Linked DNA regions of Cricetulus griseus. The protein of the gene in region 1 purifies or fractionates together with the protein of each later gene. This does not show direct contact. Links are inferred from orthologs where the notes say so. Each region holds a gene or a part of one and is shown on either strand. Other genes may lie near its edges.

The links. Proteins that work in one complex are often made in the same cells at the same time.
Region 2: the proteins of Micall2 (region 1) and Rab8a purify together in Homo sapiens (co-immunoprecipitation; 3 studies listed by BioGRID and IntAct, with this or other methods). This does not show direct contact. The link is inferred for Cricetulus griseus from reciprocal best matches to the Homo sapiens genes MICALL2 and RAB8A.

What each region holds. Positions count from the first base shown.
Region 1 is NC_048597.1:76,377,791-76,384,002, forward strand, and holds the start of Micall2 (MICAL-like protein 2), read right to left. Parts: upstream 3,440-6,212; 5' UTR 3,282-3,439; coding exon 3,139-3,281; intron 3,046-3,138; exon of another isoform or gene 3,027-3,045; intron 1,507-3,026; exon of another isoform or gene 1,334-1,506; coding exon of another isoform or gene 1,328-1,333; intron 1-1,327. UniProt on the Homo sapiens protein: Effector of small Rab GTPases which is involved in junctional complexes assembly through the regulation of cell adhesion molecules transport to the plasma membrane and actin cytoskeleton reorganization.
Region 2 is NW_023276806.1:246,922,862-246,929,061, reverse strand, and holds the start of Rab8a (ras-related protein Rab-8A), read right to left. Parts: upstream 3,610-6,200; 5' UTR 3,574-3,609; coding exon 3,450-3,573; intron 1-3,449. UniProt on the Homo sapiens protein: The small GTPases Rab are key regulators of intracellular membrane trafficking, from the formation of transport vesicles to their fusion with membranes.

The sequences.
Region 1 (6,212 bases):
GGACTTCCTGGTGGCGAAGCTAGAGACAAGGAGACAGGATGCCCACCTTCCTGCTGCCAGAGGGTCTTCAGGGGAAGGAGAAGTGAACTAGAGTGCTGGGGTGCTGGGACCTGCATCCCATCCCTGCCAAGACCTGACCTCAGAGCTCCTTAGAGGACAGCCCCTCTGTATCCTTAGTCCATCATACTTTTCCTCCCCTTCCATTTGTCACCCAACTTTACAGTGAAACATCCTTCACCCCCACCCCACCCACCACCTGGGCCAGAGCACAGCAGGACACAGGAGGGGAGCTTTTTTTAAAAAATTACATTTCTTTATTTGGAGGAGGAGACACATAAAACAGTGTGCATATGTGCAGGTAAAATGACAATTTGGGGGAGTCATCACTCTCCTTCCATCATGTGGATGAGTCCTGCAGAACCAAGACAGGTCATCAGGCTTGGCAGCAAGCCCCTTTACCCACTGAGCCATCTCGCCAGCCCACACTGGGAGATTTTAAGGCTTAGATTCAGATGGCAGACCCTCCTCCTGTACTCAGCCACATTTTAGAAGAGTGGTTAACGGCTGGGTGTTTGTGGCGCACGCCTTTAATCCCAGCACTCGGGAGGCAGAGGCAGGCAGATATCTGTGAGTTCGAGGCCAGCCTGGTCTACAAGAGCTAGTTCCAAGACAGCCTCCAAAGCCACAGAGAAACCCTGTCTCAAAAAAAAAAAAAAAAAAAAAAAAAGAGTGATTGACGCTGCGACCCTTTAATTGTTTCTCATGTTGTGGTGACTCCCAACCATAAAATTATTTTCGTTGCTACTTTAACTGTAATTTGCTACTGTTATGAATTGTAATGTAAATATCTGATATGCAGGATATCTGATATGTATGACCTGTGAAAGGGTCATTTGACCCACAAAGGGGTCGAGACCCACAGGTGGAGAAACACTGCTTTGGAGTTGCACCGGCTTCTGCAATTTCTGCCAAAATCCCCATTCCCTTCCCACCACTGCTATTACAGATGTCCACACCAAGGAATATGAGTCCTCTGATTCCCAAAGGCCAGGTATCCAGTGTCAATGTGTAGCAGGGTCATACTCACTCCAGGGAAGGGTCCTTCTTATCCCTCCCAGCTTCTGGGAGCTCCGGAGTGTCCCTTAGCTCATGTCTCCATTCCTGAACTCCCTAGTATGTCACTTCCAAACTCCAAATCCACAGAGGCTCCTCCCAAGCATCTACCACATCTACTGAGCTCCAGCAGCATGCCCTTATGTGTGGGACTCTAACTATATGGAGACAAGCCCACCGCCAGCTTTCACATAGCATTAACTAAGAGACTCACCATCATCTTGAGCTTCCAGTCCTGCTGGGACAGACAGCAAGGAAGTCAGCAATGTGCGAGATAACCCACCCAGGGTGGAACTCAGCAGGCGCCTCTTCCTCCAGCCTCCTTCCTGTCACAGCCTCTTGGTTCCCTGTCATCACCTTGAACTTCTGTCTCTGAGACCAGGAAGTTGCTCCCTGCACATTGGAGGCTGAAGTGATCTTATACAGTATACAGCAGGCACTCAGTAACTGTCAGTTAAACCAGCAAACATCTGACACTTGCTGGTGTTGACATATGTGTGTACACACAAGTACACACACAAGCACAAACCTCTGCATGCACACCTCTCCTCCTCTGTGGGCACTAGGTGTTGGGTCAGGAGCACACACATCCCCTGCCTCAGAGCAGACGAAAACCCTGTATCTGCAAAGGCCCTGTCCCTGTCTAGTTATCAACTGAAGCTGCTAGGCCAGCCAAAACCAACATCATCGTCTCCTCCTCTGAAAATCTGTCATAGTTCTCATCTAGGCTCCCTGCTCTGGACCATCATCCAGCCTTCCCCTGCACCACCCACAGAGACCTGGATACCCACATTCCCGTGTTCCAAGTCCACATCCCTGATCCAACATCCATCAAAGCTTTCCACTTGCCATGTAACTGATGGCCCAACTGAACTCACAACATCCACCTCCCTGAGAGTGACTGAGGCCGTGCCATGGGGCCTCTCCAAGCAGCTTGGGGCTGGGGGAGGGGGCGCATATTTCACAACCATAGGGCAGAATACTACTTCTTGCTCAAGATTCCCACTTCCTGAGCAGAGAAAAGCTTGGCACAAGGGAGCTGGATGGTATCAGGCCTGCCTCTGCCTGCTGTGCTGTGTGACCTGAACAAGAGTTTCTTGTTGTTTTTGATTTTGCTTTTTTTCCTTTTCTGAGCCTCATTTTACCAGTTCTCCACAAATGCTGCCTAGAGCCTCACTCAGCCTCAAGGCCTCCCTGAGAAACATTCCCAAACTGGCCACTCTGACTCTAGCTACCATGTCTCAGGACAAAGCTTTTCTCAAAAAAGCATGGGCTACAGGTGATCTTGTCCCATTCCAGGTCACTAGCCTAAGTTAGGTCCTGGTAACACACAGTCCACCAAGGTGTTAGCTGAGTGAATTACTGACAGATCAGCTGTGGACCAAGGTCCCTCAACAAAACGGAGCCAGCTTGCTTCCCAACTTCCTATGCCAAGACTCTTCTTTGGTAGAGGGCTTTAGACTCCATCCCCTGCTCACTCCTGCAACTTCCAGATATGGTGGCACAGTCTCCATTGTCACCCCCACCCCCGACCCCACCCCCAAAATCCTAAGGTGCTAAAAGGCTTGGGCTTCCCTCATTGATTGCTTTCTCAAAGACGCCTGGACAAGCAGGGGGAAAGGCAGTATTCCCACTAGAAGCCTCAAGTGATCCTGATTTAGGCTCCAAACCTCTAACAGCACAGGGTCTCAGAAGGCCCTCCAGGAGCTGCTCCTTTGCCCTTTCTCAGGGAGCCAGGGGAAGGCGGACGCTGCCCTGAGTCACCACTGACTAAGCCGGCTGGACAGCCCACGTCCTGGCCCCTGGCCCAGCTGCACTTGGTGGCCTGCACAGAGGCCACTTGACTGCAGCAGCCTTGGGGGCCACCGAATGGGCTATGCCTGCAGTACTCTCTCCTGCCCCGGGTGGCCCACCTGAGAGGGGTGTGTCTGCAAACTCTGACCCAGATTCTAGGGCAGGCGTGGCCTCAGTTTCCCGTTTGCAGCGGCACCTCAGAGCCGGACAGATGGGTGAAAGAGCACTCACATAAGGTCAGGCCGGTGTCGATGCAGGATAGCGCAGAAGGCCAGGCCATCGCGGAAAGAGGTGGTCATGTTGGTGATGCTCACGTCCCGGTAGCCCTCGCACTGCTGCCGGCACCACTCTTGTAGGGCCTTGATGGCCGCCATAGGGGCGGCGGGCCGAGCCGGTGGCTCGTGGAGCTGGCCACAGGCCCCTCTCGGGCCGTGATGGGGACGAGGCCCGGACCCGCCGACCACCACCCGAGTTGGAAGAAGAGCGCGCGACCGGCGCCCCACACTGAAGCCGCCTGCGAGGCCTTCGGCTCCGCCCCCTGGAGGCCCCGCCTATTCGGTCCGCCCCCTGTAGCCACGCCCCCTGGAGGCCACGCTCCCAGGCCCGAAGCTCCACACAGACGCCTCTGTTCTGGTTGCCCCGCCCCAACTTGCTCAGGCCACACCCGCGCCTCAGAAAAGACACGCCCATATAAGACCTCGCACCCTCCTTCCTGGGACTTGGAGAATAGAGGCGGGGTGCTCTGGGCGGCGGCTCCCGCCTTGGCTTTCAGCCATGACTCCCAACTGAGGTGCCGGGGGTTTTCTTTTTTGTTTTCCTTGAGACGGGGACCTCTGTAGCTCAGGCTGGCCTCTAGCTTATTATATAAGCAAGGGTGACCTTGCGCTTGTGCTGCCCCTACCTCCACCTCCTTTAGTGCTGGGATTACAGGCTATGTGAGCCACACCATGCCTGGTTTATACAGCGCTGGGGATGGAACCCAGGGCTTCCTACATGCCAGGCAAGCATACCACCAGCTGAGCTACTTCCCTGGCCACAGTTTTCTTTTTCTTTTTTTAATGTGTATGGGCTTTCGCCTTCACGTGCATCTGTGCCACTTGTGGGCCTGGTACCCCAAGAAGCCTGAAGAGGGCCCCTGCTCCTCTCGAACTGGAGTTAGAGCCAGTTGTGCTGCCCTGTGGGTCCTGGAAATTAAACCCCAGGTTCTCTGGAAGAGCAGCAAATGCTCTTAACCACTGACTGATCTCTCCAGCCTAAACCCACCACAATTTTATTGAAAAAAAAAAAAAAGATTAAGATAAAGAGTCCAAGTTGCCCAGGCTGGTCTAACTGTTGAATTTGAACTTGCCATCCTCCTGACTTAGTCTCTGGAGTTGCTGGGATGACAGTGCTGTACTGCCAGGCACTTCCCAGCACCCCAGTGCAATAGTGGAGGAAGGGGCCTGTTGACAAATGAGAAAACAGAGACTAGGGTAAATGCTACCTCGGAGGAGAATGAGGTGTGTGGGTGTGTGTTTCAGGGTGTACAAAGTTGTCCAGTGTTTGAGGCTGGGTGGCTTGATGGGTAGAGTCCTTGCCTCTCATATACTGTCCCTGTTCCAGCCTCAACACTGCCCACATAAACTGTGTGAGGTAGCACCCACCTGGAATCTCAGCAATCACTGGGTAGAGGCCGGAAGATCAGAAATTCAAGCTCATCCTCCGATACATATGGGGTTCAAGGTTGACTTGGGCTACATTAAAATGCTGCCTGGTTTCCCTTCGCCTTCAGGGTGCCAAGCCAGCCAGAATAACTCCTCTATGTTCACAAAGGACCCGAGGCTGTGGGGGGACTCTCCCAAGGCCTCTGTGGAAACAGGAGAGTCTTGGCCTCCTGTTTTTGTTTTTGTTTTGTTTTGTTTATTTATTTATTTTCTACTTCAAGCCTCTGTTGGATGACAGGGGTGATTAAGGGAAGTACCTCTCTCAGATCCTCAATTAACCAGGCAGCTGCCCTCTATGATTTTTCGTTTTTGTTGTTTGGTTGGTTTTTTGAGACAGGGTTTCTCTGTGTAGCCCTGGCTGTCCTGGAACTCACTCTGAGGACCAGGTTGGCCTCGAACTTACAGAGATCCACCTGCATCCAGAATGCTGGGATTATAGGCCTGTACCACAACCACCCAGCTATGGGTTTTTTCCTCAGGAACTGTATGTTGTCAGATGGATCAGACTATGACACCAACAATGAGGTGACACCTCCCATTTGAGCCCCAGGGCTTGTCTAGGCAGGACCTCTGGGAAGGTAGGGGTTTTCCCAAAAGTAGCATCTGATTTGGAGCCAGGTGGTTTCTCTACACCCTCCACAAGGGATGAAAACAGGTTTTCCATGCCCAAGCCATGGGCTGGCATCAAGAAAGAACCTGGGTACAGGCAGCAGGTGTGGGGCCTCTGTGAGTGGGCAGCGAGGTTCTTATCCCAGAGTACACAAGCCCGTGGGCTGGGATTATGGCCCCAACCCTTGCCCAGTCAAAGCAGCTGATCTGCCTGAGGATTCTCATCAAGGGGACAAAGTGCAGCATCACGCCCATTCAGTCAGAGCCTGGTCCCGGAACCAGGTTTTTCCCAGCCCTCGGGACAGCAGTTATAAGAACCGGAAAAGCTGGTAAGGAAGGCAACTGCCAAGAAGAAAGGGTGAGCAAAGAGAGGGAGGCCATGCCAGAGTCTGAGTTCTAAACACATCTCAAGGGTCACCATGTGACCAACCTCTGCACACTCCACACCCCAGCTCCTGCTGCCACAGTAGCTTGTGGACAGCACTTGTGATAGTCCCTTGAGGCCACCAATGATGTCACCACTAGTACCTCACAGAACCTGCCTCTCCAGAGTCCCCCAAGCCAGAACACCCCAGTCTGCCCACTATTACCAGCTTTCCACGTCTTGTCCCAACATGACACCAGCACCTTTGTCTACCTTGGAGCCCCCCCTTGAATGTTCCAGAAGCCCCTCATGCCAGCTGTCCTCTGAATAAAGTCCAGGAACCTTATCAGTTACTAGAACCTGCCAGCCCTGCTTATCATGCCTAGGCAGGCCACACCCTGCCTGTTCCCTTTGGGCCTTGGTTTCCCAGCTGACCATACAGAGCATTCTCCATGAGCCCACTGCACAGCTCCAGAGGACCACTGAGGTCTCTTGGATGCCCCTCTCTGCTCCTTCCTGCCTCCCCTTTGGCCCAAATTCTCCTGGTATAACTGGTACTTGCCTATCCTACTGGAAGCCTCTACCACCAGTGCAAATTCTGGTCCCAGTGGCTGTCCGAGAAAACTTTC
Region 2 (6,200 bases), on another chromosome or scaffold:
CACATATGCACTATGACAGGAACACCCACAAATAAATAAATGTGGCCAAAATTTTAAAAATAACAGGCTGTGACTGCAGCTCACTTGGTAGACTGCTTACTTAGTATCCTGGGCTCTACTTCCAGCACCCAAAAAACTGGGTGTGCTGATGTATCCCAGCAATCCCAGAACTCTGAAGATGGAGGCAGGTAGGCTAGGAGTTTAATGTTATCCTCAGCTACATAGGGAGTTTAGGCCAGCCTGGGCTACGTGAGGCCCTATCTTAAATAACAGAAAGATGGTCAGATAACACAGCTACAGTGTCTGCTGAAGCAATGAATGGCCCCGAGAGAGTGGCCTGGTTCTGAGACTGGTTTGAGAACTGATTTCAGGGTGCTGCAGGGCCAGGTTCACACCACAAATAACTCATGTAGCTCTGGAGAACAGCCTACCACAGGGCCACAGCTTCCAGAAAACAAAAAGCCACTCAGTCCTGGTCCATCAATGAACACAGCGAGAACAGCTGGCTTCCAGTACAGATGCACCTTCCTGCACAATTTTAGGGCTAAGCAGCCAAGGCAGACTCTCCCAGAGACATTTCCCAGTGTGTCACACATGCCCAGTGACACACAAAAGTCCAGAGTCACTGTATAACTCACTTTGGTCTGGAGCTCCCCTAGCTTCTATTAACATATGAATTGAATTAGGAACTGTAAACTTTATGAGGCTCCAGAATTATGAGGCCGTAACTTAAAGGTCAAGGAGATTAACTTTCCCAGAAGACAGAGGTCTGTGGGAATGTGATGCTGATTTGGGGAGGGAGAGATCCTGGTTCAAGTGCTACCTTTACCTCACTGTAAAGGAGGGCTGTCTCCCAGGGACCCCGAAGGACTAAGTTGGTTTTCTGATCAAGAGTTTCAAACCATCCAGATGGATATGATCAGTGGTCAGATATGTGGTTAACCTGGGCTCCATATCCAGTACTTCAAAAAGAAAAACTGGAGAAACACACGTGAGATGTAAAACAAGAGCCTACAAGAAACCTCATCAGGTAAAGGTGCTTGCCACTAAGCCTGATGATGTGAGTTCAATTCCTGGGGCCCACTTGGTGAAAGGAAAAAAACTAACTCCCACAAGTTGTCTCCTGACTTTGGCATATATGCACACACACAAAATAAATGTAACAAAACCAGTGGAGCAGGATGGCTCATATCTGTAATTCCAGCATTTGGGAAACAGGGGCAGGCAGATTTCCAAGAGTTCCAGGACAGCATGGTTTACACAGTGAATTCTAGGCCAGCCTGTTTCAAACAAACAAACAAACAAACAAACAAACAAACAAACAAACAAGGGCTAGGGACATGTTTGATCCCTCGAACCCATATAAAAATACCTGGGCATGGTGGTATCAACTTACAATCCCAGCACTGGTGACACAGAGAAAGAAGGGTCCTAGGGCTAGCTCCAGGTTCAGTGAGCTCCAGGTTCAGTGAGAGACTCAGCAAAGATGGCTTGGTGGGTAAAGGTACTTGCCCATAAGCCTGGCAGCCTGAGATCAGTCCCAATGATCCACATGGTGGAAGGAAAGAACAGACTCCCACAGATTGTCCTCTGACCCCCACATGTGCACCAGCATGCACCTACCTTCCGAATAAAATAATTAAAAAAAAAGAAAAAAGAAAAAGCAGCAGCAAGGAGAGTGACTGATCTGGTTGTTGACAACCAGTTCACTCTGGTGTCAACCTCTAGCCTCCAGCCCTCATATATATGCATGAGTATGCAAGAGCACACACACACACACACACACACACACACACAATAAAGCAAGCAAGCAAACAAACAGAAAACCACCCTGAACTAATACGTTGGTGACTAGGAAGTGTCTGAGGCCGGGAAACTGAGGTCTGTGTTGAGAGCAAGCCAGAGCCTGTGGGCAGCTATTGTCATTTCCTGCTTGGTCCTCACCTAAGGGTGACTCCAAAGCTGGATGTTTTGGGGGGGGGAGGGGAGAAGCTTCAGATGCACCTGTGTCCAGGGGTGTCTAAACCCTCCGCTTCCCCCAGATGGACCTCTTCACTCGTTGTATAGAGCTAACCCTCAACCACCCCGGGCACCAGCCAAGACAGACAGTGCCACATCTGCTCTAAACCAAATCACATAAGAAAGGTCAGAGCCTGTTCAAGGATGAACAGCACCTGGAGTCCAGGTATAATTTTCTGTACTTGACACCTGACTGTTTTAGAGTGCCCACCAGGAAGGAGAGTTCCGATGACATTAGCACACAATGGTCCGGTCAGGGAGACAATACAGCTTAGTTGACATTACACAGAAATCATTCCCTATGTTTTCCTTTTCTTTCTGAGCCAGGACTCATGTAGCTCAACCTGGCCTTGAACAGTCTATGTAACCAAGGATGACCCGAACTCCTGATCCACCTGCCTCCACCTACCTAGTGCTGTCATTACAGCTATTTACCAGCACACCTGGTTTCAGGATGCTGGGGATGGACCCCAGGACTGCACCAACTGAACAACAGCTTGGCCTGGGATAAACCAGGCCTAGGCACCATTCTCTTGTTCCAGGGCCATACAGCATGCAGACCACCCTGTTTGACAGGAGTTACTTCCAGGTCCAAGGTCTGTGCCATTTTTGACATCAGGACTTTGTCAATCACAAGCCAATTCTGTTCAACTGCACCGTGAGGCAGCCCTGGGGGAAAGCTGTTCAGGAAGTGACAGGTGGTGTCCTGTCAAGGCTGCACGTGGCCGTGGCCGATCTTAGTTTCTCACAGGAACTTTTTTCTCACATCTCCACCAGGGTGACAGGTACTAGCACCACTCCTCAGGCAGAGGGCAGCAGGACTTTGGGTTGGAGTCCTGACTTAAAGGTTAATTGATGGTGCTGGCCCTGTGAGGGTATAAGGCGGCACCTCTCTGGGACAGCTAGGCCTCGAATTTGGGAGTCAGATACACATGGGTTCAAATCTCAACCCTGACACCTGTAGACTGACCTTCAGTGCGTGCCACACCCTCCCTCAGTTTCAAATTCCTCCTTCAGCGACACAACACCCAACCCGAGAGCACTACAGTATTTGATAGTGCACAGGCCGAACCTGGCACATAGGGAATGATGCACGAGGTCAGGTGTCACTTCCATGCCTCAGTTTCCACTTCTGTAAGACGGGGATCTCTCCCAAAATTACCGTCTCGAGGGCTGCTGTGAGGACAGAGAGTTGACAGGCTCCAGGACCCCAGCCCAGGGCAGCCTCTCCCTCAGACAGCAGCCTGAGTGTTCCCGTCTGCACCTCGTTCGCGGCGTCCCCTCGAGGAGACGGAGGCCGCTGCGGTCCTCCGTCAGGGCCCACGACCCTCCCGGATCCTCGGCCCGGGTGGATACCGAGCCGATCCCTCAGCCCAGCCCCACAGGGGCGCGCCCAGCCCCGGTCCCCGGCCGCCCCGAGGCGCCGCTACCTATGGTGGAGATGAACGTGGAGTTGAAGGCGTCCTCGGAGAAGCGGAACAGGACACAGGTCTTCCCCACCCCCGAGTCCCCGATCAGCAGCAGCTTGAACAGGTAATCGTAGGTCTTCGCCATATTACACTCTCTCCCCGACGGGAAGTCCGGCCGGCGCCTCGCCACTGGCCGCTAGACCCGTCCATCATCTCAGATCCCGCCCCCTATTGGACCTCGGCCCGCCGCGCGTCACCGAGGCCGACGCCCGCCCTCCGGAGCCCCGCCCGTCGCAGGGAGCTCAGGGCAAAGAGACGAATCCGGCGCAGAGCCGGAAGCAGCCGCACCGCGCCGCTCATTGGCTGGCCCTTGGGGTAGCGAGATTTGTGATTGGCTAGAGATGGAGAGTCGGAGTGGGGGGGCTTCAAATGAACGGCGGTGGGCGTGGCTATGCCCTGGCCCCACCTTCTCATTCCCCGCCCCTGACGGGAGGGACCCCAACAATTCCGCGCGCTAGGGGCGGCGAGGGACGGACGGGCTTGGTGAAAATGCGCATGCGTGCTGGAAGACGGTTGGCTCCAGCAGAGGGCGCACGCGCGCGGAGGACGCCTCAGCTTTCCCGCCTTCGCAGCCCGCGCAGTCGCATTTAGGCACTGCGGCGAAGCGCGGGAAGTGCATGAGTCACTGCGCTCACTCCCTTGTGGAGGTTTTTCGGCCGAGGCCTCCGGGCTCGCCCCAGTGAGCCCGCCACGCGAGGCCCTGAGGCGTGCCATCCCAGAGGCCGTAGCGGGGGCAGGCGCTGGTAGGACAGTGGCAGATCAGTGTAATGGCAGTGTTTGTTCTGTGCCCGCCGGAAATGCAGGCTCCTTCACCCCACACCAGCGGCTGAGTATGCTGACGCTATAGGTGAGGTGACTTTCCCAGGCTTTACAGTGGCACTTCCTTCCCTTCTGGGTTTTTGTTTTTGTTTTTTTCGAGAAAGTGTTTCTCTGTGTAGCTTTGGAGGCTGTCCTGAAACTTGCTCTGTAGACCAGGCTGGCCTCGAACTCACAGAGATGCGCCTGCCTCTGCCTTCTGAGTGCTGGGTGTAGGGAAAAAGGGCCAGCCAGAGAAACACACTTTGGCCCTGCAATAAGTGCCAAAGAAACACACTTTGGCCCTGGAATCAGAGTCAGTGAAAGAAATATACCTTGGTTCTAAAACTAGAGCCAAAAGCTAAAAGAACTTGTGAAAGAAACACACTTTGTCCCTAGAATCAGAGCCCGTGAAAGAAATACACCCTGGTCCTAAAACAAGAGCCAAAAGGCTAAAAAGACCAGTGAAAGAAACACTTTGGCCCTGAAACCAGAGCCAAATCTGACCACAAGCCTGTGCAGAAAACTAAGCAATCCCTGAGCAGGAGATCTAGCCAATCTGAGTTCAGGGATTGAAATCTGACCAATCCCCACCTCCCTTAGGAAATCTCCACCCCCCCCCCAAGAATTCCTATATAAACCCTGTATCTGTTCAGCTTGGGGCTGTTGGGGCTGTTTGGGCTGTCCCGCTGTCCTCTGCCACCCTGGATTCTTCCTGGATTCTTCCCTCTAAATAAACCCCTTGGGCTGGGTGGTGGTGGTGTTTCGAGGCCAGTCTACAAAGCAAGTTCCAGGACGGCCTCCAAAGCCACAGAGAAACCCTGTCTCCAAAAACAAAAAGCAAAAACAAAAACAAAAACAAAAATAAGCCCCTTGGACGAGCTTTGGGTGAAGACCTTTTGTTGCAGAGCAGAGACAATCCTGGACAGAGCAGAGTGAGCTGCACTGTAACACTTGTGTCAGGATCCCTTTCAATCTGAGCTGTGTAACACTCAGTATTTTGTGACTCCTGAGAGCCAGAATACCTGTCCCATCAGATCCTCGGGAAATACACTGGGATTAAGGCCTCTGCCCAGCTGTTTGTCATATGTGCTTTAAAAAGTTTGTTGATATGGAACCTGGGGTAACAGGAGAGCAGTGACAAAAGAAAAGTGCCACATTAACAAGATGAGGAGCTGCCTATGTGGCCAAGCCAGTAAAGGCACTTGTTGCCAAGCTTGAGGGTCTTAGTTTGACTCCTGGTACACACTTAGTGGAAAGAAGAACCAACTCGTGTAAGTTGACTTCTGACCTCTACATATAGGTCCTGTGCCACCCTTCCTCTTCTCCCCAAAATATAAAATCTGTGGATAGCAGCATTAAGTTTAACACTAGGGGCCAACAAAATGCCCCAGTGGGTAAAGATGCTTACTGCCAAGCCTGATGTGACACAAGTTTGATCCCTAAGAAGACACATGGTGGAAGAAGAGAAGAAGCTCCTACAAGTTGTTCTCTTGCCTCCACAGGTAGACACATGCTAAGTAAATAAATGCAATTAAAATAATATATATATATATATATATATATATATATATATATATATATAGGAGATGGCTCAGTGGGTGAAACATTGGCTAAAGACCAGCTTAGGTCAAACCTATCTCCCAATGTGTCTCTCCTCACCTTCCTAAGTGATTGTGTATGCAGGCTCCAGGCTAGTACACACCAAGTTATCTTATGTTGCCTCCTGAGAGGAGCAACATTAATTAAATGAACCCCTTCCAACTTCCCCTACATCATGCTAGCTCAGAATCAGAGACAGCCTGATTGCAAGCTCTTTCTGTAGACTACTCAACCATGTTGTGGCTTGGAACCACTCCCTATAAAACCTGCAAGTAAAGCCACCCTACTATGCCACATTGACCTGAATTCTGAGTT